Linked DNA regions of Macaca fascicularis. The protein of the gene in region 1 interacts with the protein of each later gene in a biochemical or structural test. Links are inferred from orthologs where the notes say so. Each region holds a gene or a part of one and is shown in the gene's direction. Other genes may lie near its edges.

The links.
Region 2: the proteins of DAXX (region 1) and RASSF1 form a complex in vitro, tested with the Homo sapiens proteins (4 studies listed by BioGRID and IntAct, with this or other methods). The link is inferred for Macaca fascicularis from reciprocal best matches to the Homo sapiens genes DAXX and RASSF1.
Region 3: the proteins of DAXX (region 1) and PML form a complex in vitro, tested with the Homo sapiens proteins (2 studies listed by BioGRID, with this or other methods). The link is inferred for Macaca fascicularis from reciprocal best matches to the Homo sapiens genes DAXX and PML.

What each region holds. Positions count from the first base shown.
Region 1 is NC_088378.1:138,376,599-138,386,728, forward strand, and holds DAXX (death domain-associated protein 6), read left to right. Parts: upstream 1-4,308; 5' UTR 4,309-4,353; coding exon 4,354-4,406; intron 4,407-5,274; exon of another isoform or gene 5,275-5,327; coding exon of another isoform or gene 5,328-5,344; coding exon 5,345-5,534; intron 5,535-5,684; coding exon 5,685-6,516; intron 6,517-6,660; coding exon 6,661-6,869; intron 6,870-7,024; coding exon 7,025-7,250; intron 7,251-7,404; coding exon 7,405-7,870; intron 7,871-8,030; coding exon 8,031-8,253; intron 8,254-8,445; coding exon 8,446-8,505; 3' UTR 8,506-8,688; downstream 8,689-10,130. UniProt on the Homo sapiens protein: Transcription corepressor known to repress transcriptional potential of several sumoylated transcription factors. Down-regulates basal and activated transcription.
Region 2 is NC_088376.1:113,371,627-113,381,672, reverse strand, and holds the start of RASSF1 (ras association domain-containing protein 1), read left to right. Parts: upstream 1-5,224; 5' UTR 5,225-5,265; coding exon 5,266-5,515; intron 5,516-8,064; coding exon 8,065-8,171; intron 8,172-8,642; exon of another isoform or gene 8,643-8,774; coding exon of another isoform or gene 8,775-8,921; intron 8,922-10,046. Other genes in the region: ZMYND10 (zinc finger MYND domain-containing protein 10), read left to right, coding at 496-587, 849-957, 2,221-2,337, 2,455-2,508, 2,627-2,764, 2,865-2,953, 3,053-3,153, 3,505-3,677 and 4 more. UniProt on the Homo sapiens protein: Potential tumor suppressor. Required for death receptor-dependent apoptosis. Mediates activation of STK3/MST2 and STK4/MST1 during Fas-induced apoptosis by preventing their dephosphorylation.
Region 3 is NC_088381.1:50,915,129-50,925,067, forward strand, and holds the start of PML (protein PML), read left to right. Parts: upstream 1-4,007; 5' UTR 4,008-4,037; coding exon 4,038-4,166; intron 4,167-7,194; coding exon 7,195-7,667; intron 7,668-9,939. Other genes in the region: STOML1 (stomatin-like protein 1), read right to left, coding at 1,291-1,423.

The sequences.
Region 1 (10,130 bases):
CAACTGGGACTACAGGTGCCCGCCACTGCACCCAGCTAATTTTTTTATAATTTTAGTAGAGACAGGGTTTCATCATGTTGGCCAGGCTGGTCTCGAATTCCTGTCTTCAGGTGATCCTCCCACCTCAGCCTCCCAAGTGCTGGGATTTCAGGTGTGAGCCACCAAGTCCGGCCTATTTTTTTATTTTTTGAGACAGAGTCTTGCTCTGTCACCCAGGCTGGAGTGCAGTGGCACGATCTTGGCTTAACTGCAACCTTCGCCTCCCAAATTCAAAGGATTCTCCTGCCTCAGCTCCCAAGTAGCTGGGATTACAGGCACCCACAACCACACCTGGCTAATTTTTTGTATCTTTAGTAGAGACAAGGTTTCACCATGTTGGTCAGGCTGGTCTCAAACTCCTGACCTCAAGTGATCTGCCCACCTTGGCCTCCCAAAGTGCTAGGATTACAGGCATGAGTCACCATGCCTGGCCCGGCATTTTAAAATAAAACAATTAGATCACCATTTATTGTCCAGTGGAATTGAAATACCATAGTGATGCCGGGTGCAGTGCTTCACACCTGTAATCCCAGCACTTTGGGAGGCCGAGTTGGGTGGATCACGAGGTCAGGAGTTCGAGACCAGCCTGGCCAATATGCCGAAAACCCATCTCTACTAAAAATAAAAAAAAAAAAAAATACAAAAATTTAGCTGGGCATGGTGTCATGCGCCTGTATTCCCAGCTGCTCAGGAGGCTGAGGCAGGAGAATCGCTTAAACCAGAGAGGCGGAGGTTGCAGTGAGCCGAGATTGTGCCATTGCACTCCAGCCTGGGTACGGAGCAAGACTCTGTCTGAAAAAAAAAAAAAGTATAAATAAGTTCTTACCAGTTGGGAATCATTCCTTTTTTTCTTTCATCGCCTCTTTTCTCCTTGAGCTCCTACTACTACTCCACTTCCCCACAAACTTTATGCTTTTATACTTGAAAGTCCTTTATTGACCAAACTTTTACCTCTTCCTGCATATACATATATATTAATGGAGATGAAAAATATCTTTCTTGTGTTTGTAAGACTCTAGTTGTTAAAAATTATTCTGGAGTAACTGTTACAATTATTATAAGAACAGAATGTTCTTATAAACATGTGATCGTACACATTTTTTTTTTTGAAGGAGTCTTGCTCTTTCGCCCAGGCTGGAGTGCAGTGGCAGGATCTCGGCTCACGGAAGCTCCGCCTCCCGGGTTCATGCCATTCTCCTGCCTCAGCTTCCTGAGTAGCTAGGACTACAAGGCGCCTGCCACCACGCGCTGCTAATTTTTTTTTTTTTTGTATTTTTATTTTTAGTAGAGACAGGGTTTCACCGTGTTAGCCAGGGTGGTCTTGATCTCCTGACCTTGTGATCCGCCTGCCTTGGCCTCCCAAAGTGCTGGGATTACAGGCGTGAGCCACCGCGCCTGGCCGATGGTACACATTTTTATAACTGTTAAAAATAAATTTTTAATAAGATAGTAGTCTGGGAGTGGCGGTTCACCCCATAACCCAGCACTTTGAGACGCTGAGGTGGGAGGATTGCTTGAGGCCAAGAGCTCAAGATCCATCTGGGCAACATAGTGAGACTCTGTTGCTATAAGAAAACCTTTTTTTTTTTTTTTTTTTTTTTTGAGACTGAGTCTTGCTCTGTCGCCAGGCTGGAGTGCAGTGGCTGATCTCGGCTCACTGCAACCTCCGCCTCCCAGGTTCAAGTGATTCTCCTGCCTCAGCCTCCCGAGTAGCTGGGCCTACAGGCGCGTGCCACCAAACCCAGCTATTTTTTGTATTTTTAGTAGAGACGGGATTTCACCATGTTGGCCAGGCTGGTCTCAAACTCCTGACCTCAGGTGATCTGCCCGCCTCGGCCTTCCAAAGTTCTGGGACTACAGGCATGAGCCACCGTGCCCGGTCTCTACAAAAAACTTTTTTAAAAAAATTAGCCGGGTGAGGTGGTGTGCGCCTGTAGTCCTAGCTACTTGAGGTGAGAGGATGGCTTGTGAGCTATGATCGTACCCGCATTCCAGCCTGGTTGATAGAACAAGACGCTGGCCGGGCGCCGTGGCTCAAGCCTGTAATCCTAGCACTTTGGGAGGCCGAGACGGGCGGATCACGAGGTCAGGAGATCGAGACCATCCTGGTTAACACGGTGAAACCCCGTTTCTACCACAAAATACAAAAAAAAAAAAAACCCAAAAAACTAGCCGGGCGAGGTGGCGGGCGCCTGTAGTCCCAGCAGCTGCTGGGGAGGCAGAGGCAGGAGAATGGCGTAAACCCGGGAGGCGGAGCTTGCAGTGAGCTGAGATCCGGCCACTGCACTCTAGCCTGGGCGACAGAGCAAGACTCCATCTCAAAAAAAAAAAAAAAAAAAAAAAAGCAAGACCCTTTTTTTCTTTTCTTTTTTTTTTTTTTTGAGATAATCTCGCTCTGTCGCCCAGGCTGGAGTGCAATGATGCGATCTCGGCTCACTGCAACCTCCGCCTCCCGGGTTCGAGCGGTTTTCCTTCCTCGGCCTCCTGAGTAGCTGGGACTACAGGCGCCTGCCACCACGCCCAGCTAATTTTTTGTATTTTTAGTAGAGACGGGGTTTCACCATGTTGGCCAGGATGGTCTCCATCTCTTGACCCCATGATACGCCCGCCTCGGTCCCCCAAAGTGCTGGCATTACAGGCGTGAGCCACCGCGCCCGGCCGACCTTGCCTTTAAAAAAACAAACAAACAAACAAAAAAAGAAAGGAAATAAAAGAAAAAAAAGAAAAGGTGTTCAACAGGGTACATCTCCCTTTATTTTAAACAGGTAAGAATACCCCAGGAGATTTCATGGTTGAGAACTACACTTTTGAGGGCGGAGGGGAAAAAGAGAGAACTATTCTTTTCTTTTTTCTTAAGAGGGTGTCTCTATTGTAAAAGGAGAAGTGAAGAATGAGAACCTGTACTGCAGGTGTTTCCTTAGGAAGACCAATTTTGGGAAAGTTGAGGTTCTGGAAATTAAATCCCTTACATCTCCCAAGTTCCAGTCCTCGCGGAGGTTTTTTATGTTCCCCATTTTGAAAGCTGTAGACTTTGACGACTGGAGAGAAGTGATGTGGGATTGTTCAATGGACGGGTGTTTGCGATTCTATGACTCAGCGTTAGGGATGTAGTAAATTCTGTGAACCTAGTTAAGCGGCAAGATGCCCACCACTTGTGGAAATGGGAATCTTTGCGATTGGGACCTTGTTAATCTTTCTGGTTTCCTCATAAGCTCACCTCTGGACCCAGCCTTGCCTCCACGACTCCCTCCAACCTCCCTAAACTCAACGAGGTGGGTATCAAGTCTGTTTCTTCATCCTTCATTCTTTTTTAACCTCTCCCAGAAGAGGAGGAGGAAACCCAAAGTATTTTATGAGCCTCATTTCGTTTCACAGCAGCCCTTGCAGAGGCTCAAACTCTCCTCCAAGCCCCACCCCATCATCGCCCATCCGCAGACCCTGGGCCTCCACGACAAAGCACGGCCTCACAGTCAGCACCGACGGCCCTTCGAGGACCCCCTCTGGAGGAGAACCATTCAGGTCCCAACCGTCTGGTCATTAGTTCTGTGGTGAAGCTTGAAAAGCAAATCAGCAACAATAGTAATAATAATAACACTTTTGTATGGCGCATTGTGCTTATTTGTACGCATGTGTTATAACGACTGTGGGACGCAGCACCTGGCAGTAGAAGCAGCTGCTGGACAGCGGCAAGGAGCGCGCCGCCCTTGCAGGGGAAGGGGCTGGGTCAGCCGAATAAGCCGTGGAAATGGGAACCTGGGGGACAGGAAAGCAGGGCCAGATAGCTTGCCAATAGCCTAGTTGAAGATAAAGGTTTTACTTCCCTTTTAAGAGACTTCTGCCATTCCCTGAAACCCTACGCAGCTTTGGAAAGCCCAATTCCTAAACCACCCTGTTCGGTTCCCCTGCCCCTCCTTGGAAAGGAGGCTCCGTTCTCCCCACGCGCTACTCGCCGGCGGTTGGACCCCAGGGAGGAAGTTTCTGATTGGCGGAGTCAGAGAAGCACCGGGTGAAAAGAGCTCCTCCGGCTGCGCACCGAAGTTCTGGCGTAGCCAGCGCCGTACGGCAAAATGGCGGCCCCCAGCTGCTTTGGGACGCCCGGGTTCGGGGAGACAAACTCCGACCTGGAAGACCGCGCTGACTATGTGGGCGGCACTGGAGGTGTTCGCGGGGCGGGCCTACGGCCGCTTCCGGCCACAGGAAGCCTTGTTCCGTACGACAATATGGCGGCGCTTAGTTGCATGCAGGCGGAAACTCTGTTGCTTCCGGTCCGTAGTGGGGCCTGCGGTGGGAGTGGGAAGGAAGGCGGAGGGAACCATGCGAGGTTCTGAGATCTGCGGCGAGGGTCGCCTCGAGAGACGGTTTCTGAGGTGGGGGCCGGATGGTGCGGGGATCAGAGGCGGGGGCGGGGATATCGAGGCAGAGGTATTGGGGAGAGCCGGGCTCTGAGTCTGAGGGGAAAACTGTGGTACCTTCCTATCCCTGAAAGGGAGTGGGGCGGCCGGGGGCTGAACTGGGGGAGGGGGATTTGGCGGGAAGCGCATCTACCGGACCGGCCGGACCCAGGGTTGGGATCTAAGAGGAATCGGGAGAGCGTAGCGCGGTGCGGGGGGACTTCTAATTAGTTACAGGTCTCCGAGAGAATGGGGAAAATTAGGGTGGGGTGAAAGGGAGGGGACTTGGGTAAAATATCTTCAACCTAAAGGCCCAGTTTGAGGAGACTCATCTGAGGGTGAAATACGGAGATAATTCAAGGAGGGGAAAAGAGAACGGACTGTTGGGAGGGAACCTCTTTCACCTCAGAGAGTCTAGGAGTTGGGGTGATCAGGATGGGGCGGGTGTGGGGTTGACTTGTTTGAGGGCAGAGGGGGCAAACACATGAGGTGGCGCCCACAGGAGTGTGTTGTCTGTGCCAGGGGGTGTCAGGACGATTTAGGGTGCAGTGTGGGAGAAAGAACCAACTTGCCAACTCTGAGAAAGAGTGGGGAAATGCAACAGAAAGACCGGAAATCGACGTGAGGGGTGGAGCAGAAGGTGGCAACTTAAGGTGTGGGGGGGTTTGCCCCCCCCACACACCACTTGAAGGGCCCGAAAAGCATATAGAACTAATGGTTATTGAAATCAGGTGGTGAAGACAGTGTTGGTCAGGGCTGAAACCCAAGGAGTTCAGAAAATGCGTGAGGTGAAGGGATGGGGCTATGCTGGAGGGGCTCATTCTGAGGCCCCATCCCCTTCCAGCAGGAATTCTGAAATCCCCACCACTTCCTCCTTCCGGGGGATTTGATTCCCCCATGGCCACCGCTAACAGCATCATTGTGCTGGATGATGATGACGAAGATGAAGCAGCTGCTCAGCCAGGGCCCTCCCACCCACTCCCCAGTACAGCCTCACCAGGGGCAGAAGCCCCTAGCTCTTCTGAGCCTCATGGGGCCAGAGGAAGCAGTAGTTCGGGCGGCAAGAAGTGCTACAAGCTGGAGAATGAGAAGCTGTTCCAAGAGGTGAGCTTTAGCGGGGAAGATCGTTGTACCCCAGGGAGGGGGATGGCTGACTGGCTCTCCTGTCCTTTCTTCCCCACTAACCCCACTCCCCTTTCTCTCAACCCCCTCCCTTGTCTCTCTTCCCCTTCCTTCTTCCCCTGAACCTTCTAGTTCCTTGAACTTTGTAAGACGCAGACAGCGGACCACCCTGAGGTGGTCCCATTCCTCTCTAACCGGCAGCAACGTGCCCACTCTCTGTTTTTGGCCTCGGCGGAGTTCTGCAACATCCTCTCTCGGGTCCTATCTCGGGCCCAGAGCCGGCCATCTAAGCTCTATGTCTACATCAATGAGCTCTGCACTGTTCTCAAGGCCCACTCAGCCAAAAAGAAGCTGAACTTGGCCCCTGCTGCCACCACGTCCAATGAGCCCTCTGGGAATAACCCTCCCACACACCTCTCCTTGGACCCCACAAACGCTGAAAACACTGCCTCTCAGGCCCCAAGGACCCGTGGTTCCCGGCGGCAGATCCAGCGCTTGGAGCAGCTGCTGGCGCTCTATGTGGCAGAGATCCGGCGGCTGCAGGAAAAGGAGTTGGATCTCTCAGAATTGGATGACCCAGACTCCACATACCTGCAGGAGGCACGGTTGAAGCGTAAGCTGATCCGCCTCTTTGGGCGACTATGTGAGCTGAAAGACTGCTCTTCACTGACCGGCCGTGTCATAGAGCAGCGCATCACCTACCGTGGCACCCGCTACCCAGAGGTTAACAGGCGCATTGAGCGGCTCATCAACAAGCCAGGGCCTGATACCTTCCCTGACTATGGGGATGTGCTTCGGGCAGTAGAGAAGGCAGCTGCCCGACACAGCCTTGGCCTCCCCCGACAGCAGCTCCAGCTCATGGCTCAGGATGCCTTCCGAGATGTGGGCATCAGGTTACAGGAACGACGTCACCTCGATCTCATCTACAACTTTGGCTGCCACCTCACAGATGACTATAGGCCAGGTAGGGGGTTAGTGGGATGCCTCTCAGTGACCCTTATATGTCAGGTATGAGGCGGATGGGGCATCTCTCTAGTCCTTTCTAGGGTTTGTACTCTTCTAGTCCCTTCCACGGCTGAGTGCTCTGACTTTATATTTTCCCACGTAGGCATTGACCCTGCACTATCAGATCCTGTGTTGGCCCGGCGCCTTCGGGAAAACCGGAGTTTGGCCATGAGTCGGCTGGATGAGGTCATCTCCAAATATGCAATGTTGCAAGACAAAAGTGAGGAGGGCGAGAGAAAAAAGAGAAGAGCTCGGCTCCAAGGCACCTCTTCCCACTCTGAAGACACCCCCGCCTCCTTGGATTCTGGTGAGGTGTGGATGGGGTAAAGCCTTCAGAGAGACATTGTCCTTCCCCTGCACTGGCCACCAGGGAGTCCAGGTTGACTGATGGGGGAGCATGAGAAGGAATGCAAGAACCAAACCCTCTAGGGCAAGGGATTCCTTAGAGAAACTTCTTTGTCCCCCAGGGCCCTAGTGGAATGGCATCCCAGGGGTGCCCTTCTGCCTCCAAAGCTGAGACAGATGACGAAGAAGATGAAGAGAGTGATGAGGAAGAGGAGGAGGATGAGGAGGAGGAGGAGGAAGAAGAAGAAGAGGAGGAGGCCACAGATTCTGAAGAGGAGGAGGATCTGGAACAGATGCAGGAGGGTCAGGAGGATGATGAAGAGGAGGAGGAAGAGGAAGAAGCAGCAGGTATGTCAAGGGAACATTCTCCTCACCTGTCATTTGTTTTTGTTAGGCATAAGCCACCTGTTTGAGACCTTTCCCTTCCTCCTCCTAGTGTCCTCTCAGCAGTATTTTTTCCCCTCATTCTCGGGCTACCCTCTCCCCTTTTCTTCTTTTCCAGGTAAAGATGGAGACGGGAGCCCCATGTCCTCACCACAGATCTCCACTGAAAAGAACCTGGAACCTGGCAAACAGATCAGCAGGTCTTCAGGGGAGCAGCAAAACAAAGTGTCACCCTTGTTACTGTCAGAAGAACCCCTGGCCCCCTCCAGCATAGATGCTGAAAGCAATGGAGAACAGCCTGAGGAGCTGACCCTGGAGGAAGAAAGCCCTGTGTCTCAGCTCTTTGAGCTAGAGATTGAAGCTTTGCCCCTGGATACCCCTTCCTCTGTGGAGATGGACATTTCCTCTTCCAGGAAGCAATCAGAGGAGCCCTTCACCACTGTCTTAGAGAATGGGGCAGGCATGGTCTCTTCTACTTCCTTCAATGGAGGCGTCTCTCCTCACAACTGGGGAGATTCTGGTCCCCCCTGCAAAAAATCTCGGAAGGAGAAGAAGCAAACAGGATCAGGGCCATTAGGAAACAGGTAATAACAACAGGAGGAGGAAGAGGGAAGCCAAGGAGGGATTGCAGGGGACTTTCGGAGAGGAATATTGGGGAACTGAGTCTGCTGGGAGAGACTGGACTGCCCTCCTCCAGCCTCAGTCTTCCCTTACCCCTCCGCATATTTATGTTTCGGTTTCTAGCTATGTGGAAAGGCAAAGGTCAGTGCATGAGAAGAATGGGAAAAAGATATGTACCCTGCCCAGCCCACCTTCCCCCTTGGCTTCCTTGGCCCCGGTTGCTGATTCCTCCACGAGGGTGGACTCTCCCAGCCATGGCCTGGTGACCAGCTCCCTCTGCATCCCTTCTCCAGCCCAGCTGTCCCAAACCCCCCAATCACAACCTCCTCGGCCCAGTACTTACAAGGTAAGAAGGGGAGGCCGTGTTTCCTCTGATAATTTGTTCTCTTTCATTGTCTGTTTCAGCTGCTCTGTCTGAATATTGCACCTGCCACATCCTGTCTCTTTTTCCCACCCGTTTTATCCTGTAAATCCTCCTGTCTGTTTCTTTTCTCCTGTACTCTAGATCTCTGACTCTTTGTCTCTGACTTCCCTGCAGACAAGTGTGGCCACACAATGCGATCCAGAAGAGATCATCGTGCTCTCAGACTCTGATTAGCTGCCTCCCCTTCTCCCTGCCTCCAGAATGTTTTGGGATAGCATGTGGAGGAATGTGGGAAGCAGATGACTGAGGAAGGGATGGACTAAGCTAATCCCCTTTTGGTGGTGTTTCTTTAAAAAAAAAAAAAAAAGCTTAAGTTTTACACAGAAACATTAATAATAAAGTTCTTTTCTTACTGTATCACTGTCTTTTTCTTGTCCTTCTACTGTTACAGATTGGCATTAGCTGTCCCCTTGCTCAGGGTTAGCCCAATATCCCCGGGGTAGTCCCGATCTGTCCTTTCTAGCCTGGTCTTTTGTTGTTGTTGTCTCGCTGTGTCGCCCAGGCCAGAGTGCAGTGGTGCGATCACAGCTCACTGCAGCCTGGACCTCCCAGTCTCAAGTGATAATGCCCCAGTCTCCCGAGTAGCCGGGACTACAGGCGCGTGCCACCATACCTGGCTAATTTTTTGTTTTTGTTGTTTGTATTTTTTGTAGAGACAGGGTTTCGCCATGTTGTTCAGGCTGTACTTTTTTTTTTTTTTTAAGTGCTTCAGCCGCCTTAACGCACTTTACTTTTTCACTTCGTGCAGTAGGAGTGAAAAAGCCAATGAGGGGCCGACTCAAGGTTATTTGGCCAATCCAGGCCCGGAGAAAGGGGGCGGGGCTTCAGGGGGCTGTAAGGAGCTAGGAAAAGGGCGATTAGATCCCACCAACCAGCTAATGGTCACAGCTCAGAGGCGGAGCCTGGGGAACGATACCTGAACCCATCGCCAATGGGAAAAGACAGGCTTATAGCTTTAAAGGGGAATAAATGCTTCGGCCGAACCAAGTCCTGAGTTCCCAGCGGAGGAGGGGGAATCTGATCTTTTAAGGTGGAATGAGGCGACGGTTCTTTAAAGGCAAAGTAGCCGAGTCGGCCGAGTATTGCCCAGCGGCACGGGCGGGGTGGCCGGCTGTGCCTTTAAAGGCAGAGGGGCGGGAGGCGGAGCGGAGGCGGAGGGCGGAGGAAGTCGGCGCAAGATGGCGGCGGGAGGGGCCCAGGCTGCTGCTCTGCCCGCCGAGTGAGGGGCGGGGGGGGCCCGGGGGCGCGCGGCCCGGTAAGCGGGGACGCGCGAGGTTGGGGGGCGCCTTCCGAGTGGGAGAAGAGGCCGAGGTAGCGCCTGGGGCGGAGCGGGGGGGGCGGGGTCCGTTGTGGGCGGAGGTAGACAAGGGGCGGGGTCGAAAGGCCCGATAGTGGGCGGGGCACGGGGGCGGGCCTGGAAAGGGGCGGGGCTAGAGAGAAGCTGGGGTGAAGGGGGCGTGGTCGACGAGAGAGCTTGCGGGGCATAGCATGGAGGGGAGATGGAGCAAGAGTTGGTTTTCAGTAGCGGAGCTGCCCTGCCCCCTCCCAAAAAGTGGGTGCAAAACACCAAAAAGGTAGATTTTGGAATGTCAGACTCCCAGGTAAATGGGAAATAGGGTGTAATTCCGAAGGAAGCCACTCCACCCGCTAAGAGCACCTTATTTCTCTAACCTCCAAGGAAAGGGCACAGGATTTGTCAGATACCTGTGTTTGCTGGCGGTGCCACTTGCTGTGTGACCTTGGATAATCTTGTAATCTTTCTGAGCCTCAGTTTCCTCATCTGTCAAATGGGGTTGAGA
Region 2 (10,046 bases), on another chromosome or scaffold:
ACTAATGGAGCCGGGACGCGAGAAACAGAGGAATCAGGAAGCCATAAGGAGGAGGTGGAGCAGCGGGTGGGTCAAGATGCCGCAGCAGCAGCAGGAGGAGCTCGTGGGGTCGGGGTTACCCCCATCCCCGTGCAAGCCGACTTGGCGTCCGAGGGCAGAGTCCAGACCACAAGGAACTGGAGCTCAGGAGAGACTCGTGGTCCACATCGCGAGAAAGCTGTGGGAATCCAAATACTGTGGCGATTGGCAGCCCCGTAGGCGAGGCGGGCTGGAGACCCGCCCGGATTTAGGCGCGAGCCACCTCCAGGGGCGGAGCCCAAGCCGCACTGCGCAGGCGCGGCTAACCCGTTTCCATGGCTGCGAGAACTCACGCTCCCCAACCGTCCCACAACTGTCCTGTCCCAGACTTTGGCACCGTCGGGGTCCGTCGTCCCCGAGTGTGTCAGCATCCCCACCCCGGCTGCTGCCCAGGATCCGCCGGACCCCGGCCTCGATATGGGAGACCTGGAACTGCTGCTGCCCGGGGAAGCTGAAGTGCTGGTGCGGGGTCTGCGCAGCTTCCCGCTACGCGAGATGGGCTCCGAAGGGTGAGGCACCCGGGTCAGGCGGAGTCACGGAGTCATTGTCCCTGAGTGGGGGAGCTGGAGCCTGACATGGGGGGAGGGGCTGCCCAGTGTGGAGGGGCTCCCAAATGGGGGAGCAGAGTGTTCCGAGACAGGAATATAATTGTTCCTGAGCCCCCTGTGTCCCCTCAGGATCAGGTTAGGCTTCAATAGGATCCAGCCCCCATCCCCACTCCAAATGCACACACGTGGACCCACATGCACTTACACAACCCTCTGAGGCAGGTGGAACCAGCAGCACGAGAACCTGGAGAAGCTGAACATGCAAGCCATCCTCGATGCCACAATCAGCCAGGGCGAGCCCATTCAGGAGCTGCTGGTCACCCATGGGAAGGTACCCCGAGGTCACAGGCAGGGTTCCTGCCTTCCCCCATACCTCACCTACTCTAACCCTCAGGAGTCCCCTGTGTGCTTTTCCCCTCTGGCCTGGTACACCTGTCCTCCCTGAAGGGGAGAGAGGAATGTGTTACATGTTTCATTTTGTGTCGCTGTTGGACAGGACTCTGGCACACCAGGCTAGGTACAGGGCATGAGTTGATTAGGGAGAAAGCTGTAGGTCCTAAAACAGCTTAGGCTTCGAGGGGAAGGCCCAAATGCTAAAGGCATCTGTGAATTGACTGTAAGGCTGGGGAGGGGGTGGGGAGGGCAGGAGGGAGGGGAGATAACTTAACTGGAAGTAGAACTTTGGCATGGAAGGAGGCAGCCTTCCTAACATGAGAGGGGAAAGTTAGAAACCAATGAGATGGCTGGCTGGAACATGGACCAGGGAGTGTCACCAGCAGATGACCTGAGATATCAATTGACCAAAAAAAAAAAAAAAAAAAAAAAAGCCAGGCATGGTGGCTCATGCCTGTAATCCTAGCACTTTGAGAGGCCAAGACGGGTGGATCACCTGGGGTCAGGAGTGCAAGGCCAGCCTGACCAACATGGTGAAACCCTGCCTCTACTAAAAATACAAAAATTTGCTGAGCATGGTGGTGCACACCTGTAATCCCAGCTACTCGGGAGGCTGAGGCAGGAGAATCGCTTGAACCTAGGAGACAGAGGTTACAGAGAGCCGAGATCGTGCCACTGCACTCCAGCCTTGGTGACAAGAGTGAAACTCTGTCTAAAAAAAAAAAAAGAGTTCCTTTGCAAGAGAAAGGTGGAACTCATACAAGGGGATAGGATAAGAAGAACAGGGCACTGTGAAGGGTCCTGAGTAAGAGTGAGGCCAAAGGCACACAAGAGCCTTAGAGAACCACAGGACAGGGACAAGAGGGAGGGCATGAGCAGAAGGGCTGACTTGAAAGGGACGCCTGAATGGGCGGGGAGAGGATAACGGGGCAGGTGCAGGCAGGGCAAGGCAGTCTGGGAACTGGGCAGGAGCCAGTCACATAAGCATGAGGGACATCCACAGAGGTGTTGGGAGCAGCTGGAAACGAAGGTCCGAAATGCAAGAGAAAAGTCAGGAAGGATAGCCATGGGGTTTGGGATAGTTTAGGGGCCCAGCAGTGTTTGGGGAGATCTGGGCTGAGCTGAGCCAAGCTGGGGATGGGAGGGTTGCCAGGCAAAGGTAGGCCCATCTCATCCCTGTCCTTTACCCCATCCTTCAAAGGTCCCAACACTGGTGGAGGAGTTGATCGCAGTGGAGATGTGGAAGCAGAAGGTGTTCCCCGTGCTCTGCAGGGTGGAGGACTTCAAGCCCCAGAACACCTTTCCCATCTACATGGTGGTGAGCTGGGCCCCTGGTTCATACCTCCTCCCACTCCTTCAGAGGGCTCTGGACTGGGGAGGGGAGCTGGTAGCCCCTATCCCTACCACAGGCCCTGTCCCTCTCTTTGTCTGTCAGGTGCACCACGAGGCCTCCATCATCAACCTCTTGGAGACAGTGTTCTTCCACAAGGTGAGGGACTATCTCTGCCCATGGGCCACAGTTTCAGGTCAGGGCCTGGCAGGAAGGGAGGTTGTATCTGTGTGGGGAGGGCATCAGACACAGAAAGTTTCCCTCCCCCTTTCCCCAGGAGGTGTGTGAGTCAGCAGAAGACACTGTCTTGGACTTGGTAGACTATTGCCACCGCAAACTGATTCTGCTGGTGGCCCGGAGTGGCTGTGGTGGCCCCCCTGAAGGGGAGGGGTCCCAGGACAGCAACCCCATGCAGGTGGGTTGAGGTTACCTAGGATTGTGAAAGCCTAGGTCTGGGTTCCCCAAGGCCTGCACAGGCAAGGGTAGCCCAGCATGAACACTGTGTGACCTCGCAGGAGCTGCAGAAGCAGGCAGAGCTGATGGAATTTGAGATTGCACTGAAGGCCCTCTCAGTACTGCGCTACATCACAGACTGTGTGGACAGGTGGGCAGTCCGACTGGGCCTGGGCCTACCGTGGAGGGCTGGAAGACTGGGCCTGTAGCCTGCCTCTGCTCACCTCCTTCACAACGTCCCTGCCCCTAGCCTCTCTCTCAGCACCTTGAGCCGTATGCTTAGCACACACAACCTGCCCTGCCTCCTGGTGGAACTGCTGGAGCATAGTCCCTGGAACCGGCGGGAAGGAGGTAGGGTCCTCCCACACCAGCCTAAGCCCCAGGCTACTGCTTCAGGATATCTTTTTGATAGAGGGGGCAGTTTGCACACACGAAGACAAACCCCGTCCCCAAGCCCATCTGAGGATACCAGGATGCCTCAGCCAAGAGTGGCCTAGACCTGAGCTCTGCAGCAGGCCAGGCCCATGTGTCCACTACTGAGGCTCACTCTGCTCTGGGGTCAGCAGCATTATAGCCTGGGCAAGTCCTGTGGCCCAGGTTCTCCCACCATTCCCAGGCAGTGGTCAGTCTCCCAGGCCCCACAGCTGGCTCACTTGAAGAGAATGCAATGCCTGTACCCAGTGTGCTGGTTCCTCTCCCCAGGCAAGCTGCAGCAGTTCGAGGGCAGCCGTTGGCATACTGTGGCCCCCTCAGAGCAGCAAAAGCTGAGCAAGTTGGACGGGCAAGTGTGGATAGCCCTGTACAACCTGCTGCTAAGCCCTGAGGCCCAGGCGCGCTACTGCCTCACAAGTTTTGCCAAGGGACAGCTACTCAAGGTCGGACTCCCTCTGCACCAGCCCCCACAGCCCCAGCACCGCCCTCCCCATCCTACCCTGACCCTGTCCCTGCTGTTTATCTTTGCCCACCCACCTCAACCCCCGTGCTCTTTTCAGTCCTTGGGCCTCAGGTGACACACCAGCTAGTGGGACATGGACCCCCACAGGCATGCTCAGCCCAACCCAGCCCCTTCCTTTTCCGTGGCCCCCTGGCCAGCACCTGCATCACACTGGCCTCCACTGGACACTCTTGCAGCTTCGGGCCTTCCTCACAGACACACTACTGGACCAGCTGCCCAACCTGGCCCACTTGCAGAGTTTCCTGGCCCATCTGGCCCTGACTGAAACCCAGCCCCCTAAGAAGGACCTGGTGTTGGAACAGGTAGACACTGGAAAGTTAGCTCCTCAGGACCACTGTCCTACTTTACCAGCACCTTCCTGCCACTCTCCACTCCTTTCCCTAGATCCCAGAAATCTGGGAGCGGCTGGAGCGAGAAAACAGAGGCAAGTGGCAGGCAATTGCCAAGCACCAGCTCCAACATGTGTTCAGCCCCTCACAGCAGGACCTGCGGCTGCAGGCACAAAGGTAAGTCCTGTGGAACTGGCAGGAGGAGTGGATGGGATGCAGGAGGCATGGATGTGGGCAGGGATGCCCCCACCTTCCAAGGCCAGTCAGACCTTCCTGACTTTCCCCCAGGTGGGCTGAGACCTACAGGCTGGACGTGCTAGAGGCAGTGGCTCCAGAGCGGCCCCGCTGTGCTTACTGCAGTGCAGAGGCTTCTAAGCGCTGCTCGCGATGCCAGAATGAGTGGTATTGCTGCAGGTGAGGGTATCCTAGGACCTTGGACCCCTAAGTCCTACTGCCACATCCCCCACATGCACTGCCCTCCTCAACACCCACCTGCCTGCAGGGAGTGCCAAGTCAAGCACTGGGAAAAGCATGGAAAGACTTGTGTCCTGGCAGCCCAGGGTGACAGAGCCAAATGAGGGTTGCAGTTGCTGAGGGCCAACCACCTATGCCAAGGGAATCCACCCAGAATGCACCCCTGAACCTCAAGATCACGGTCCAGCCTCTGCCGGAGCCCCAGTCTCCGCAGTGGAGAGCAGAGCCAGCGGTAAAGCTGCTGACCCATCCCCCTCCTCCCCACCCCAAGGGAAGGCTCGAGACTTCCTGCCCCACCTGGTGGGCAGGCCAAGTGCGTTGCCTCAGCAAACTGGGCCAGGAGGGCGAAGGCCGGATGTGGGGACCCTCTTCCTCTAGCACAGTAAAGCTGGCCTCCAGAAACACGGGTATCTCCGTGTGGTGCTTTGCGGTCGCCGTCTTTGTGGCCATCCGGGGTGGGGTGTGAGGAGCGGACGAAGGAGGGAAGGAAGGGCAAGGCGGGGGCTCTGCGAGAGCGCGCCTAGCCCCGCCTTCGGGCCCCAGAGTCCCCGCACCCAGGTTTCCATTGCACGGCTCTCCTCAGCTCCTTCCCGCCTCCCAACTTAGATCCTGGGGGCGGTGCTGACGTCGGGGCCCGCCCTGTGGCCCCGCCCGGCCCGCTCTTGCTAGCGCCCAAAGCCAGCGAAGCACCGGCCCGACTGGGCCATGTCGGCGGAGCCTGAGCTCATTGAGCTGCGGGAGCTGGCACCCGCTGGGCGCGCTGGGCAGGGCCGCACCCGGCTGGAGCGTGCCAACGCGCTGCGCATCGCGCGGGGCACCGCGTGCAACCCCGCACGGCAGCTGGTCCCGGGCCGTGGCCACCGCTTCCAGCCTGCGGGGCCCGCCACGCACACGTGGTGCGACCTCTGTGGCGACTTCATCTGGGGCGTCGTGCGCAAGGGCCTGCAGTGCGCGCGTGAGTAGCGGGCCCCGCGCGCCTACGAGAGCGGAAGGGGCAGCCAAGGGGCAGCGCCGTCGCCGCGGGTCAAGTCGCGGCAGAGGTGGTCGGTGGGGACAGCTCCCGAGGACTAGGTCCGTTACTTTCGCCCCATCGCTGAAGAGTGCGCGAAAATGGTTTATCCCTTGTCGCACTCCACTCGTATATGGGGCACAGATGAGCAGAGGTGGCAGCTTATATGTAAAAATATGCTGATTTCAAGTTTCTTATCTTTAAAATGCCTTGGCCTTTCTTGAGAAAGGGTTTGTGCCTACTGTCCTCGGAGTCCATCTTCCCAGGCTTGCCTCTTCTCAAACATTCACTCACTGTGACCCCCTCCAGAACCTTTGGGGTGAAGGGAAGTTACCCACCTATGGGAGGGAGCCTGGAAAAAGTTAGAACCTTGGGTGTGCCCCCTGCAAGCAGGAGTTTTGTTGAGTATTTAGCAAACACCCTTGAATCAGAAGCTAAAATATGGAAGGCAGCCACACACCCAGCAGTCCTTCTGCACCCCTGGGAATCGCCAGCAAGCAAAGGTTGCTCTCCCCTAGCTAGACACCAGCTGGAATCACCAGGGGCGCTTTTACAGCCCTCCCACCCTCTAGCCTGGATGCCACCTCAGACCCATTGAATCAGCTGCTGGGAGTGGACTCAAGGCAGCAGTAAATTTTTTTAAATCCCCACATTATTGTAACATGGAGTCTGGGTTGAGCATCAGTGCTCTGACCCATTTAGGAACTAGTGGATAGATGGTGTCCCAGGTCTGTATGTGCATGGAGACCCTCTCATCTGGTACAAGAGGACATCACAAATTCAGCTGGGGGGAGCACAAAGTTGTGACAGAATACAAAGAATAAACAAGGGCCGAGCACGGTGGCTCAGGCCTGTAATTCCAGTACTTTGGAAGGCCAAGGCGGGTGGATCACCTGAGGTCAGGAGTTCAAGACCAGCCTGGCCAACATGGTGAAACCCTGTCTCTACTAAAAAATACAAAAAAATTAGCCAGGCGTGGTGGCGGGTGCCTGTAATCCCAGCTACTCAGGAGGTTGAGGTGGGAGAATTGCTTGAACCCAGGAGGCGGAGGTTGCAGTGAGCTGAAATCACGCCACTGCTCTCCAGCCTTGGGGACAGATTGAGACTGTCTCAAAAAAAAAAAAAAAAAAAGAAAGAAGGAAGGAAGGAAGAAAAAGGCTGGGACACTGCAGCATTCTCAAAGAGAAATAAAGTGGCCATAGAGATAAGAAGCAGGATGATTTGGGCATGTTTATCAGAGGTAGAGACAAGGGAGGAATCAACGATAAGTTTGGGTTTTTGTTTCCAGTAACCGGGAGCATAGTGGCCATTTTTGCTGCAAAGAGGAAGCTGGGCAAGGGTAGCAGTGAGGTGGAAGAAAAGGGAATTAAATTTTGGCCATGTTCACTTGAAACGTCTTTTAGACATCCTAGTGAAGGTACTGGCACGGAGGATCTAATCTGAGGGTTTAGGTCAGTGTTTCAGCTGTGGATCTGGGGCAGAAGATTGTGTAGACAGACCAGGCCAGCGATCAGGACTGAGCCCAGACTTCATCATGAGATACGGAAGTTGAGTCAGAATCTGCAAAGGAGCTGAGCAGGAGCTGCAGGGGGGTAGGAGGAAAACTGGCAGTGTAGCCCCTGGGAGTCAAAGGGAGCAAGCTTCAAATGATGCTGAGTGGGTGAGAATGGAGAATGGAACACTGCATTCCATTTGGCAGCACATAGATGGCTGAGGACCCTGTCCTGGGCAGTTTCCTGGAGGGAGAGGCAAGCCTGGCTGAAGTGGGTAGATGGGAGAGTGAAGGCGAAGGATTAGAGTGTATAGAGACCAATGTTTTGGTCTGAGGGGAGTACAGACAGATGACAACCAGAGGGCAGAGGTAGGTTAAAGGTGTTTAGTTTTTCCTTCAAGTAAATGGGCAGATGTATTCCATAGAAGTTCCCAATGAAGGGCCGGGCGCGGTGGCTCACGCCTGTAGTCCCAGCACTTTGGGAGGCCGAGGCGGGTGGATCACCTGAGGTCACGAGTTTGAGACCAGCCTGGCTAACATGGTGAAACCCTGTCTCTGCTAAAAATACAAAAATTAGCGGGGCGTGGTGGCGGGCGCCTGTAATTCCAGGTACTCGAGAGGCTGAGGCAGAAGAATCGCTTGAACCCAGGAGGCGGAGGTTGCAGCGAGCCGAAATCGCGCCATTGCACTCCAGCCTGGGTGACAAAAGGAAGACTCCGGTTTTTGGTTTTTTTTTTTTAATTGCCAATGAGGAAAGGGGAAGCTCTGTGCTAGGCGACAGAGATCCCAACTGTTGAGCAGGCCTCTGCTGTGGCCTTCCGGCCGGTTTCCAGACACCCAGGGTGGCCAACATTAAAGTCCGCATAGCAGTGTGAGGTAAAACACTGAAGCCGGGCCTGCGGAGCCTGGCGGGCAACGGCCCTCTTCCTGGGGCTTCCCTTCAATCTCCCGGACATTTCCCCGACCTGGGGCTCCTCCGCCTCACGGCTAGGCCTCTCTGCAGATTGCAAGTTCACCTGCCACTACCGCTGCCGCGCGCTCGTCTGCCTGGACTGCTGCGGGCCCCGGGACCTGGGCTGGGAACCCGCGGTGGAGCGGGACACGAACGTGGTGAGCGCGGGGCCGAGGGCGTATGGGAAGGGCGAGGACGGGCAGGCCACAGCGCAGGCATTCTCGAAGACTGCCTGGGTGCTGCGCGCAAGGAGCGTTCTAAGTGCCGATTTCCCGGCGGCAGAGAGAGGCTAATTCTGAGCGAGGGCTGAGAGGGGTGCCTGGATTGCCGGCTCCGCAAGGCCTCCACTGGCTGCTAGCAGACCCCAGCCGCTAGCAGTCCCCGGCCAAGGCGGACGCAGGCTCCGCGCACGCGCACTTCCCGCACCTTCCCGCCCTCGCCTCCGGCCAGAGGCCACCCTTGTGCGCTTGCGCGGACGCTGGCACCCGCCCCGTTCCCTGTGGTAGGTGGGGTCTCTGAGTGGAGCTGCCGGAGCGATGAGGTCATTCCTCGGGGCTAAGTGTGCGTGTCCCCGCCCCGGCGTTCCTCCCCCAATGACACAAGAGCTAGATCCCGGCGATCTACGTTTCAGTCTTAACGGTTGCGGCGCGGCGCTGGCCCGGGCGCACGCGCACACTGACACGCGTACACGCACGCACGCGACCGGGGCGGTGGTTGGCGGCTACGGACGCGCGGGACCAGGGGGACGGGCGGGTGCGGCGATGGGCGAGGCGGAGACGCCTTCTTTCGAGATGACCTGGAGCAGCACGACGAGCAGTGGCTACTGCAGCCAAGAGGACTCGGACTCGGAGCTCGAGCAGTACTTCACCGCGCGAACCTCGCTAGCGCGCAGGCCGCGCCGGGACCAGGTGGGAGCCCGGGGGTGCCGGCGGGGGACGGGAGGCGATTGCTGGAGCTCCGCCCTCCCCGGTCCGTTGCCGCGTCCTGGGTCGGTGGGCAGCCCCACCCTCCCGGCTACGTGGCTCCCCGCGTGTCCTGGCCGGTGGCCTGCCCGCAGAACCGTGTGTAAGACCCCGATTCCACCGCCTCGATACTGGTTGCCTGGGCCCCCATGGTTTCTGTCACAGACAGGTTGAACAGGGAAAGCAGCTGTGTGGCTTGTGGTAGACCTGAGCCGGGCATTATCAAGCTATGACTAAAGCCGACCGAGCAGTCTGGACTAGCACCTCGATTTCCGCGTTCAGATGCTCCTGCTCCCTCCTTGGGGAGACTAGGGGAGGAAGTGGAGAGGGAGGAGTCCTCGCCAGGAATTGAGAAGTATGTTTAGGAAAACTGAGAGGCAGAGAGAGATCCTGCTCCTCCATTTGCACTCCTTTACGGAGCCAGCTGAGCCCTCACCTCTTCCCTGTTCTGGCCTGTCACCAGCTGCTGGAATGTGAAACATTTTGATCCCTTCCTCTAGGGTGGATCTGGAGAAAGATTTGGAAATAGGAAATAGGATAGGAAAGAAGTCTTATTTTGGACCATAAGCATTCAGGAGCACTTTACCCACAAGAAGGGGGAAGGGTAGATTATAAAATGCCTAAAGAGGTGGAAAGAGATCCAGGTTACTAACCCAGGACTGTAAGGTGTCTCGGAACCTCCTAGGTATCCCCATTATTAGAGAACTCTGTGCCAGATGCCATGGGTGTGACCACCAGGCTCAGAGAACCAGGCCCAGGCACCAGGAAAAAGAAATAGGGAATGTGAAGCTCAGTATGCCTGGCAGCAATGGGGCGGAAATCCTTATTTAAGTGAAGAAAGTGGAGTTGTGAGTGATGCTTTGGATAAAATTTTACAAAATTCCTTACAAAAGGGGTGGTGCTCAGCACCCCAAAATCTTAGCCCAGAGCTTGGGTGCAAGGGTTGAGTGTAAACCCCTGGGCTTGTCTTCATGTCACTCAGTCCTGAGCCATTTTCCACTGTGGGAAGGTGGGAAAACCACAAGACACTAACCAATTGAAAAGGAGGGCTAGGCCGGGCGCGGTGGCTCA
Region 3 (9,939 bases), on another chromosome or scaffold:
ATATTGCCTACTCATACCTGGCATGCAGCCAGGAGCACCTGGGCATCTGTAAACATGCACTGAATATTGCTGGCAAAACACATTCCTCCTATACCATTAGCCCTAGAAGTATGCTTTCCAGGAGTCCTTATGAAGATGATGCCTTAGCCTACAGGGATAGAGCATAAATAGCTTATCAACAGGAGCCATAAATGAGGAATAAGATTATTATTTTCTATTCCTCACCCTACTTTAATGCCTTAATGACCATTTAAAAATGTCTGTTTCACGAGATTGCGCCATTGCACTCCAGCCTGGGGGACAGAGCGAGACTCTGCTTCAAAAACAAAACAAAACAATAAAAAAACAAAAAACAAAAAAAACCTGCCTATTTAAATTCAAGAAAATTGTTAGGGGTCAGGGTCAGGGGCAGGGCTAGAAAGATGAGGCTTATCCAAGCCAAATGTCCTGGCCCCTGGAGAACCAGGATGGGAGCGCAGCCAAGACAGCTCCAGAATCTGGGATGAGGTTATTTGCTGCTTTCCTTCCCCCAACCCTGGACAGGAAGCAGTCAGGAGCCCCTGCTCCATTCTTCAAGGAAGCCCTGCCCTCTGAGCTAATCCCCAGAGCACTGAGGCTCCACTTTGTGCCTGGCTCTGATCCCCAGGCCTCTCAAGAGAGTTCTGGATACGGAGATCTTTCAGGACAGGAAGGCCAGGGAGGGATCAAATCCAAGGTTAGGCGGTCAGGCTGAACAGTGTGGGATCTGGCCTCTAGGCCAAAGGAGCCACAGAAGACTTTGAGGGCAAGACAGAGGCAGGGCAGATCCAACAGGCAGCTGAGGACCAGTCTTTTTGGCCTGCACATCCAGGAGATGCCTAGTTCCCGGGCTTCTAGAGGTGCCCCCTAAGGTGAAAATACTTCCATTTCTTGGCAGCAGGTGCCTTTAGGGTGCTGGCGGCCTCCTCTGCCTAGACCTCGGTTTCTTCTATGCGAAATAGAAACCTGAAACGTCTTCCCAGGCCTAAAGGGCTAATAAGAACCGAGGACAAATGTGGTGAGGTGAGGTTTTGGAAGATAGGAGCAACGCTGGCTGGCTCCAGGGCCACCGCCCCGTGACCCTAGGGAGGGCGTATCAGCGCTAGCACCAGGCGCCGGGTCCAGCCCCCTCTCCACATCGTATCCCCTTCTCAGTCCCCCCTCGTAGGGTGCGATGACGCCGGGCCGGCCGACTCCTCGGAGGCAGAGATTTCGGGCCTGGGGGTTGCCGGCCGGTCCCCCCCGGGTCCGCCGTGCCGGGCGGCCACTCACCGGCCCCCGTCCCCACGCCGCCCCGCTCCGGGGACAAGCAGCCCTTCTGCGAGCCCAGAAAGCCAAAGCTCGACTGCTGGAAGCGGTCAAAATCCCCCAGGGGCAGCGCCCGGTACCCAGACCTGCCCAGCATGGCTTTTGACAGGAGACACGCCCCGCACGCCACACGGCGCCCTCCCTGACCAGCGGGCCCTACGCGGCCCCGCCCTGCTGGCTGCTGCTTCCGGCTTCACCCACGCTGCCACCCGCTGCAGCGGCGGGCGCAGGAGGAGGAGACTGGCCGGGGCCCGCTCCCGCTGTCGTATGGCGTCCCCAGTGCTGGGAGGACCGAACTGCAGCCGAGGGCCAAGGGGTGTGATCGGTGTTCCCGGGAGCACGCTGGGGTCGTCGCCTCCTCCCGTCTTCTACTCAGCCTTAGAAAAGCTAAAGGGGAAGCTGGGCACGGTGGCTCACGCCTATAATCCATCAGTTTGGGAGACTCAGGCAGGAGGATCGCTTGAGGCCAGGAATTCAGGACCAGCCTGAGCAATACAGTGAGAGCCTATCTCTACAAAAAATTTTGAAAAATTAGCCTGGCGTGGGGATGCCTGCCTGTGGTCCCAGCCACTTGGGAGGCTGAGGCGGGAGGATCTCTTGAGTACAGGAGTTTGAGGCTGCAGTGAGCTATGATCGTGCCACTGCACTGCAGCCAGAGAGAGAGAGCAAGATCTCATCAGGGTTTACAGGAAGCGAATCTTCTCCAGGATCAAGGACATGCTATTATCAGCCTTCTCAGCACTCCTTCTCGCACACTGGAGGCAGGGCATGCCATATCTGGACTTTGGGTTTCTCTGGGACATAGTCTGCAAATTATTCCTCTTTGTGAACCCATAGCCCAGCAAGCAGGGACTGGCATAGGGCAGATCTCAGTACTTATTTGTTAAGTAATGGCCTAGCCAGGTCACCGTGATCAAGGTGGAGTAGGAAGGCCTGAACTTTGGCACAAAAAGAAAGAAGTTTCACATGCAGACCTCGGGGAGCATGGAAGTGTAAGGAAGAAGGGGGTAGCACAGAGCCACATGAGGGCAGGGGCCCCAGAGCACCACAGAGGTGAGGCCCTCAGTCCTGCAGGTCTAGAAACAGCATGCCCCTTGATCTAGGTAGCTGAAATTAACTGGCCTCTCCAGGGCTTGAGAAAACCTGAATGCAACTTGCGAATTTACTTTGAGAAGTGTTAACTTCCAACAGAACTCTGGGGTAGTCTGGGAGCAGGCTATCTTTCAAAGCAAGCAAATAAATGAATAAAGCTTCCCCAGCTCTGCCTCCTCAGCCAATCGCCTCTGGCCTCCAAAGCCCCATCCTGCCATAGCCCACTTCCAGGTCCCTTGTGCAGATGGCTGCCCACCATATTTGGCTTTCATGGACTGATTCTCTAAAGGCCTGGGAGTACTGACCAGGCTGGAGGGAAGGGCAGGCTCCTGAGGCCTCTTACAGTCCCTAGGAAGTTGGGTATCCACCCAACCCTTGACCTCCAGCCCGCATACTATAAGGTTTACAAGAGCCAGGCCCTATCATCATCCTTTCTAGTCTGTTTCTAAGTTGGAACAGAGTACAGAATGGGTACACAGGAGCCAGCACAGTGGTTGCGATGGTTTAAGTTTGAAGCCAGGGGCACTGGCCCAGTGAGGTCACCTGGAGCTGTGCCCTTTCCCCCTCACCAGCTGGGAGTCTGGCATGCTTTTCCACTGGTGAAGACCTACCTGGCTCTCCCCTCTCCCTCTTCATACCCGCTCTCCAGCTCTCCCCCTCCCTCCTGCCCCCACCACCTCACATCCACCAGCCTTTCCAGCTGTCACTCAAGGCGTCACCCTGCTCCCTCACCTCCAGTCACTGGCTTCCCAGGATCTCTGACTCAAGACCCTCCTCTGCATCCCACAGCCACTGTCCTAGACAAGGGTATGTGCCCCTAGGTTGTTAGAGTGACCGTCCCATCATGCACAGCTGATCATGTTGTTTCCTGGTTCCAGATCCTTCACCAACTTCCCATCACTCCCAGAACTGGTCCAATCTCCTTAGTTAGGATCTTGTCCCAGCACACTTCTTGGGCATCATTTCTCATGAATTCCCTCTTAAATCTGAAAACGGCCAAAACTAGTTCCCAAACAGGCTTTCGTGTTTCAAACTTCCATGCCTTTTGCAAGAGCTATCTTTCGTGTTTCCAGTGTCCCCTGGACCCCACCACCTACAGCCCTGAATCCCTGGTGAATTCCCACTGCTTTTTCAGGTCCCAGCTGAGGGCTCTCCTTTCCAGAATGTCTCCGTTTGCAAGCTTGCTCTTCCATTACATCTGGGGCTCTTAAAAAGCAGGGGCTGCGTGTGGCTCATCTTTGTGCGCCCAGCTCCCGGCAGGAGGTGGCACGAAGCAGTGCCAGTGTGAACTGATGAATGGATCAAACCCGGGGGCGGGGCTGCCCCTCTGCAGCTCTGCCCTGCCTCTCCCGCTTTACCGTAAGCCAGCAGTAGGTCTGCGGCTCCCCGCCTCTCCTTCCTCCCCGCTCTGGGCGTGTCTTTAAAACCCACAGTCGGCCTCTCTGCCCCTAGAACCGCCCCCAGTTTGTGTCTCACTTCCTCTCCAGAGGCGGGCCCTGAGCTGGCACCTCCCCTTTCGGACAGCTCAAGGGGCTCAGCCAACTGGCTCACGCCTCCCCTTTAGTTTCTTTTCACGCCCTCCAAGATCTAAACCGAGAATCGAAACTAAGCTGAGGTCCATGGAGCCTGCACCCGCCCGATCTCCGAGGCCCCAGCAGGACCCCGCCCGGCCCCACGCGCCCACCATGCCTCCCCCCGAGACCCCCTCGGAAGGCCGTCAGCCCAGCCCCAGCCACAGCCCTACAGAGGTACTATTGGGTTAGGGGATGATGGGGTTAGGCTTTGTTGGTTTGCTGTGGTGGGGAGAGTGGGGAAGAGAGGGTCTAACGGAGGATTTGGTCAAGTACGCTAGAGAGTGACACAAAGCGGGAAGACCACACACCAGGGTCCTGACCTTCTTGGCTGGGGCATGGGAGGGTAGGATAGAGTAGAAAAGAGGACCCGGAGGAGTTGGGGCGGCCTCGCTGGGCTGCGGTTTCTCCACGGAGCAGTTGGGCAAGGTGAGAAGGGTCAGTGGCCTCCGGGCCTGGGCCCTTCCGCCCACCCTCGAGCCCTGGTCAACCCTGCCTCAGATGCAGGACCACAGATTAGGGAGGATGGAAGTGGTAGCCCTGTTGCGCTGGCCTGGAGCCAGGAGCATGTCCCAGGCACAGCAAAACTAAAACCAACTTCCCAGATCCGAGGTGAGAAACTGTGGCTCAGACTGAAGAGGTATCTTTGCCAAGGCCTCCCAGCTCATGTGGTTTCTGCTTAAGGAAGCCTCCCTAACAAACCCTTCTCTTGCCACACCTGTCCTGCCTACCTCCCACCTCCACCCCCAAAGGAACTACTTGGGTTTCTTGTTCTGCTGTCTTCCAGGCCCTTTTGCTCCCCTTCATGAAAGTACAGAGGACACTGTATTACAGTAACTTTTATAAGCATTATTACAACTAAGAATAACATTACTTAACAACACTAGCTAACATTTATGAGCACTTCAAATGTGCCAGGTACTGTATTAAGCACTTTGGTTTTTTGTTGTTTGTTTTGTTTTGTTTTTTGTTTGTTTGTTTATCTGTTTGTTTTTGAGATGGAGTCTTGCACTGTCGCCCAGGCTGGAGTGCAATGGTGCGATCTCTGCTCGCTGCAACCTCCTCCTCCCGGGTTGACGTGATTCTCCTGCCTCAGCCTTCTGAGTAGCTGGGATTACAGGCCACACCACTATACCTGGCTGATTTTTATATTTTTAGTAGAGATGGGGTTTCACTATGTTGGCCAGATTGGTCTCTAACTTCTGACCTCGTGATCTGCCCAACTCGGCCTCCCAAAGTGCTGGGATTACAGGCGTCAGCCACCATGCCCGGACTGCTTTTGTATTTTAAAAATTGTGGTAAAATATACGTAACGGATAAGCTCCTATGTTAACCATTTCTAAGTGTAACGTTCAGTGGCATTAAGTAGATTCACAATATTGTGTAACCATCACCACCATCTATTTTCAGAACTTTTTAATTGCTCCAGAAACTCTGTACCCTTTAAACCATAGGGGAGGGAAAGATGGCTTCCCTCCACCCTTCTAGTTTCCTTGGCTGGGCTATGAATTAAATAGTCATAAAATAGATTAACAGGGGGAAAACCCATATTTAATTACATATGTATACTCAGGAGTCCCACAAAGTATGAGACTCAAAGAAAGGTCAGATGATTGAAGCCTATATAACATCCTGATCCACAGAAAAGAGCTTGGAGCTTCTGGGTGGTGGTGATGACACAAGTTATGGGAGGGTGAGGAGAGGAGCTGTTGTCTTGCTATGTAGATAAAAAGTTCTTAGATAATAAGAGTTGTCTGGAGCAGCCCTCTTTTAATATAGACCATTTTACTAATGTAGATTTTCTTTGGGATGCAAATGCCTTTCTGTTTTACAAAAGGAGAGCTTTTCAGAGCTATTCCTGTATCAGCAGTTTCTCAGAATAACCAGCTTAAAATATGCCAACAAAGTATATTTCAAGGGTGGCATATTCTGGCCTCCTGCAGTCATATTTTGAAGTGGTGTGTCCTGAGTCTCAGTAAAGCAATAGCTCCTCATTTTCTCCTTCCCCTAGCCCTTGGTAACTTCTAATCTACCTTCTGTCCCTACGAGCTTACTTATTCTAGATATTTCATATAAGTGGAATTGTTACCAGTAGACGGTCTTGACCGCAAGTTGTTCAGGTTCTTGGCGTTTTGAACAAAGAATTGGACAAAATGCACAGCAAAGCAAGGAAAGAATGAAGCAATGAAAGCAGAGATTTATGGAAAATGAAAGTACACTCCACAGGGTGGGATGGGTTGGAGCAGGGCTCAAGGGCCCAAGTTACAGAATCTTCTGGGTTCCAAATATGCCCTAGAGGTTTCCCATTGGCCACTTGGTGTTCACCCCATTGGTTGTAGAAAGCAACCAATCAGAGGTGCTTTCAATTTTCCATCTGCCAGGCAGGAAATGGGGTGTTTTGCAAAGAGAGTAGCCTCTGGTCCTTTTGTTACTTGGGCGTGGAGAGTTCGGGTTTTCCTTTGGATTTAGTTCTAGGAAGTCAGAGGGAATCGGCCTTAGGTTCCCTGCCTCCAGACCCTATTCTCCTGCCTCAGAATCATACAGTATTTGACCTTTTGTGTGTGGCTTATTTCACTTAGCATAATGTCATTGAGGTCCATCTATGTTGTAGCATGATCAGAATTTCATTTCTTTCTAATGCTGAATAATATTCCATTATATGTGTAGACCACATTTTGTTTATCTATTCATCTGTTGATGGATACTTGGATTGTTTCTACATTTTGACTATTGTGAATAATGTTGCTCTGGACATTGTTGTACAAGTATCTGTTTGGGTCCTTGTTTTTAGATCTTTTGGTTATATATGTAAGAGTGAAATTGCTGGGTCATATGATTGTTCCATGCTTACCTCTTTGATGAACCCCCAAACTGTGCATTAAGCACTTTATATGAGGTTGGTACTTACTGTATCTACCTTCCAAACTGAGTTCCTTGAAGGCAGAATGTATCCTATACCTCTTATATCTCAGGGCCTAGTACTGTGTGTGATGAGTAGATGCTCAATAAATGGTGCAGTGAGAGCAGGAGGGCCTGAATAAGTGGGAGTATTGGGGTGCTGATAAGCCAGGGTTTTGCATCATCCAATGACTGGCTGGAATGGAATATGAGGTCCTACTCCAGGCTCCAGCTGTAAGGGTGGTTGGCCAGTGGGTGGGGGCTCTTGGGACTTCTCCAGGCCTCACCCGCCTCTCTGGTCCCCCAGCAAGCCCCCTCTCCGGAGGAGGAGTTCCAGTTTCTGCGCTGCCAGCAATGCCAGGCTGAAGCCAAGTGCCCGAAGCTGCTGCCTTGTCTGCACACGCTGTGCTCAGGATGCCTGGAGGAGTCGGGCATGCAGTGCCCCATCTGCCAGGCGCCCTGGCCCCTAGGTGCAGACACGCCTGCCCTGGATAACGTCTTTTTCGAGAGTCTGCAACGGCGCCTGTCGGTGTACCGGCAGATTGTGGATGCACAGGCTGCGTGCATCCGCTGCAAAGAGTCCGCCGACTTCTGGTGCTTTGAGTGCGAGCAGCTCCTCTGCGCCAAGTGCTTCGAGGCACACCAGTGGTTCCTCAAGCACGAGGCCCGGCCCTTAGCAGAGCTGCGCAACCAGTCCGTGCGTGAGTTCCTGGATGGCACCCGCAAGACCAACAATATCTTCTGCTCCAACCCCAACCACCGCACCCCTACACTGACCAGGTGAGTGGGCTGGCACAGGGTGGGATGGTGCATCCAAGAACCAGGTAGAGGTGAGAGGAGCAAAGATCCAAAGAGTCACACAGCTGAGGACAAGGAGCTTCTGGGGCCTTGCAACTCTAAATGTGGTCTGCAGATATGCAGCATCCGTGGTGACGACCGCAATTTATGCTGCCAGTCCCCACGCAGGTGGATAGTAAGTTTCCAGTTTCCTCCTGTAATAAATAATGCTGCAGAATCATCTTTGCATTGTTATCCAGTAATTTCTTCAGGATAAATTTTTAGAAGTGCCACTGCTGGCTGTAGGGGGACAGAAATTCTACATTTGATACATGTTACCAAACTGCCCTTTAGAAAGTCTTCGAGTGAAATTTTCCATGAGCGCTGACAGAGAATCTCAGTAAGGCTGGATTCTAGGATCAGAGGCAGGTAGGTAGTTTCTGTCTGAAAAGTTGAGACCATTAACACCAGGCAGTGCTATCTGAGAGTGTCTGTATGGGAAAAAAAAATCACATCCAGTTGTAATTGTTTTTATTAAACAGATTTTAATTCAGTTTTTTAATAGGTAATACATTTGTACAGTTCACGAACAAAATTTATAAAGAGGAGAGAGAGAGTGCAGTCTTCTGTCCATCCTCAACTGTCTAATTCCCACCACTTCTCCCTCTTCCCATCCACAGGTAGTTTTGAATGTTTCTTCTGAGAGTTTCTTTATGACTATATATGCAGGTAGCAGCAGTCTTCTCAGGTCCTATTTTCCCTCTTTTAGCCAAAATGGTAGCATAACTATGTGAACTTTCAACCATCAGAAATAGATTGTTTATAGAAGGCTCTTCTTGGTTCTTAGGGATCCACTTGCAAAATGGAAGCATTTTTCCCTTGTTTTTGACAACTCAGAACTATATATGGCTAAACCACATACCTGCTAAACTACATATCTGCTAAACTGAGTGTGGTTTGTTTCCTGCTTTAGGATAAACTTCCCCCACTATCAGAATAAGCTTTCCCCTCTGACTTCTCAACAGCTGGTATCACCACATTTCTTAGCTTGTTGTAAAGGTTGAGTGGCTTTCCACTTGTTTATTGGCCATTGTGTTTCTTCATTTGTGAATAGCCTGTTTAGGTCCTTTGCCTGTTGTTGTTGTTGTTTCCTTTGAGGAATTAAGGGATTAATTAAGGAATTCAGGAACAAATTCCTCGAAGGAAAAAAATTTATGCGTTTCTTTTGCTCTTACAATTTGTGCAGTTTTAAAACTTACATATTCATTGGATTTTGATTGAAATTGCAATAAATTAGGGGAAATTGGCTTTATCTCTGGTTATATCTTTTGGATTTAAAAATTTTTTTTAATTTTTTTTTTTTTTTGAAATAGAGTCTCCCTGTATCACCCAGGCTGGAGTGCAGTGGCGCGATCTTGGCTTACTGCAACCTTCGCCTCCCGGGTTCAAGCAATTCTCCTGCCTTAGCCTCCCAAGTAGCTGGGATTACAGGTGCATACCACCATGCCTGGCTAATTTTTTGGTATTTTTAGTAGAGACAAGGTTTCACTATATTGGTCAGGCTGGTCTCCTGACCTCAGGTGATCCACCTGCGTTGGCCTCCCAAAGTTCTGGGATTACAGGCGTGAGCCACCGCACCCAGCCTTATACTAATTTCTTAATGAATTTGTAAGCTTTCATGTTTTGAACATGATAATGAAGCCATCCCACGGGATCCATGGGAGACTGGTTCAAATTCATAGATGCTCAAGTCTGTGATATAAAATGGCATAGTATTTGTATATAACCTCTACACATCCTCCTGTATGCTTTATTTTTTATTTTATTTTTATTTTTTGAGACAGGGTCTTGCTCTGTCGCCCAGGCTGGGGTGCAGTGCTGCACTCGTGGCTCACTGCAGCCTCAGTCTCCTGGGGTTCAAACAATCCTCCCACTTCAGCCTCCAGATTATATGGGACTACAGGTGTGCACCACCACGCTCAGCTAATTTTTAATTTTTTTTGTAAAGACAGGGTTTCGCCACATTGCCCAGGCTGGTCTTGAGAATTCTTGGGCTCAAGCAACAACCCTCCCACATAGGCCTCTCAAAGTGCTGGGATTACACGTGTGAGCCACTGTACCCAGTCTCTCCTTGTATACTTTAAATCATCTCTAGATTACTTATAATGCCTAATACAGTGTAAATGCTATGTAAAGAGTTGTTTTACTATATTTTTGAATTTGTATTATTTTTTATTGTGGTCCTTTTTTTTATTGATTTTTTTTTCCCTGAATA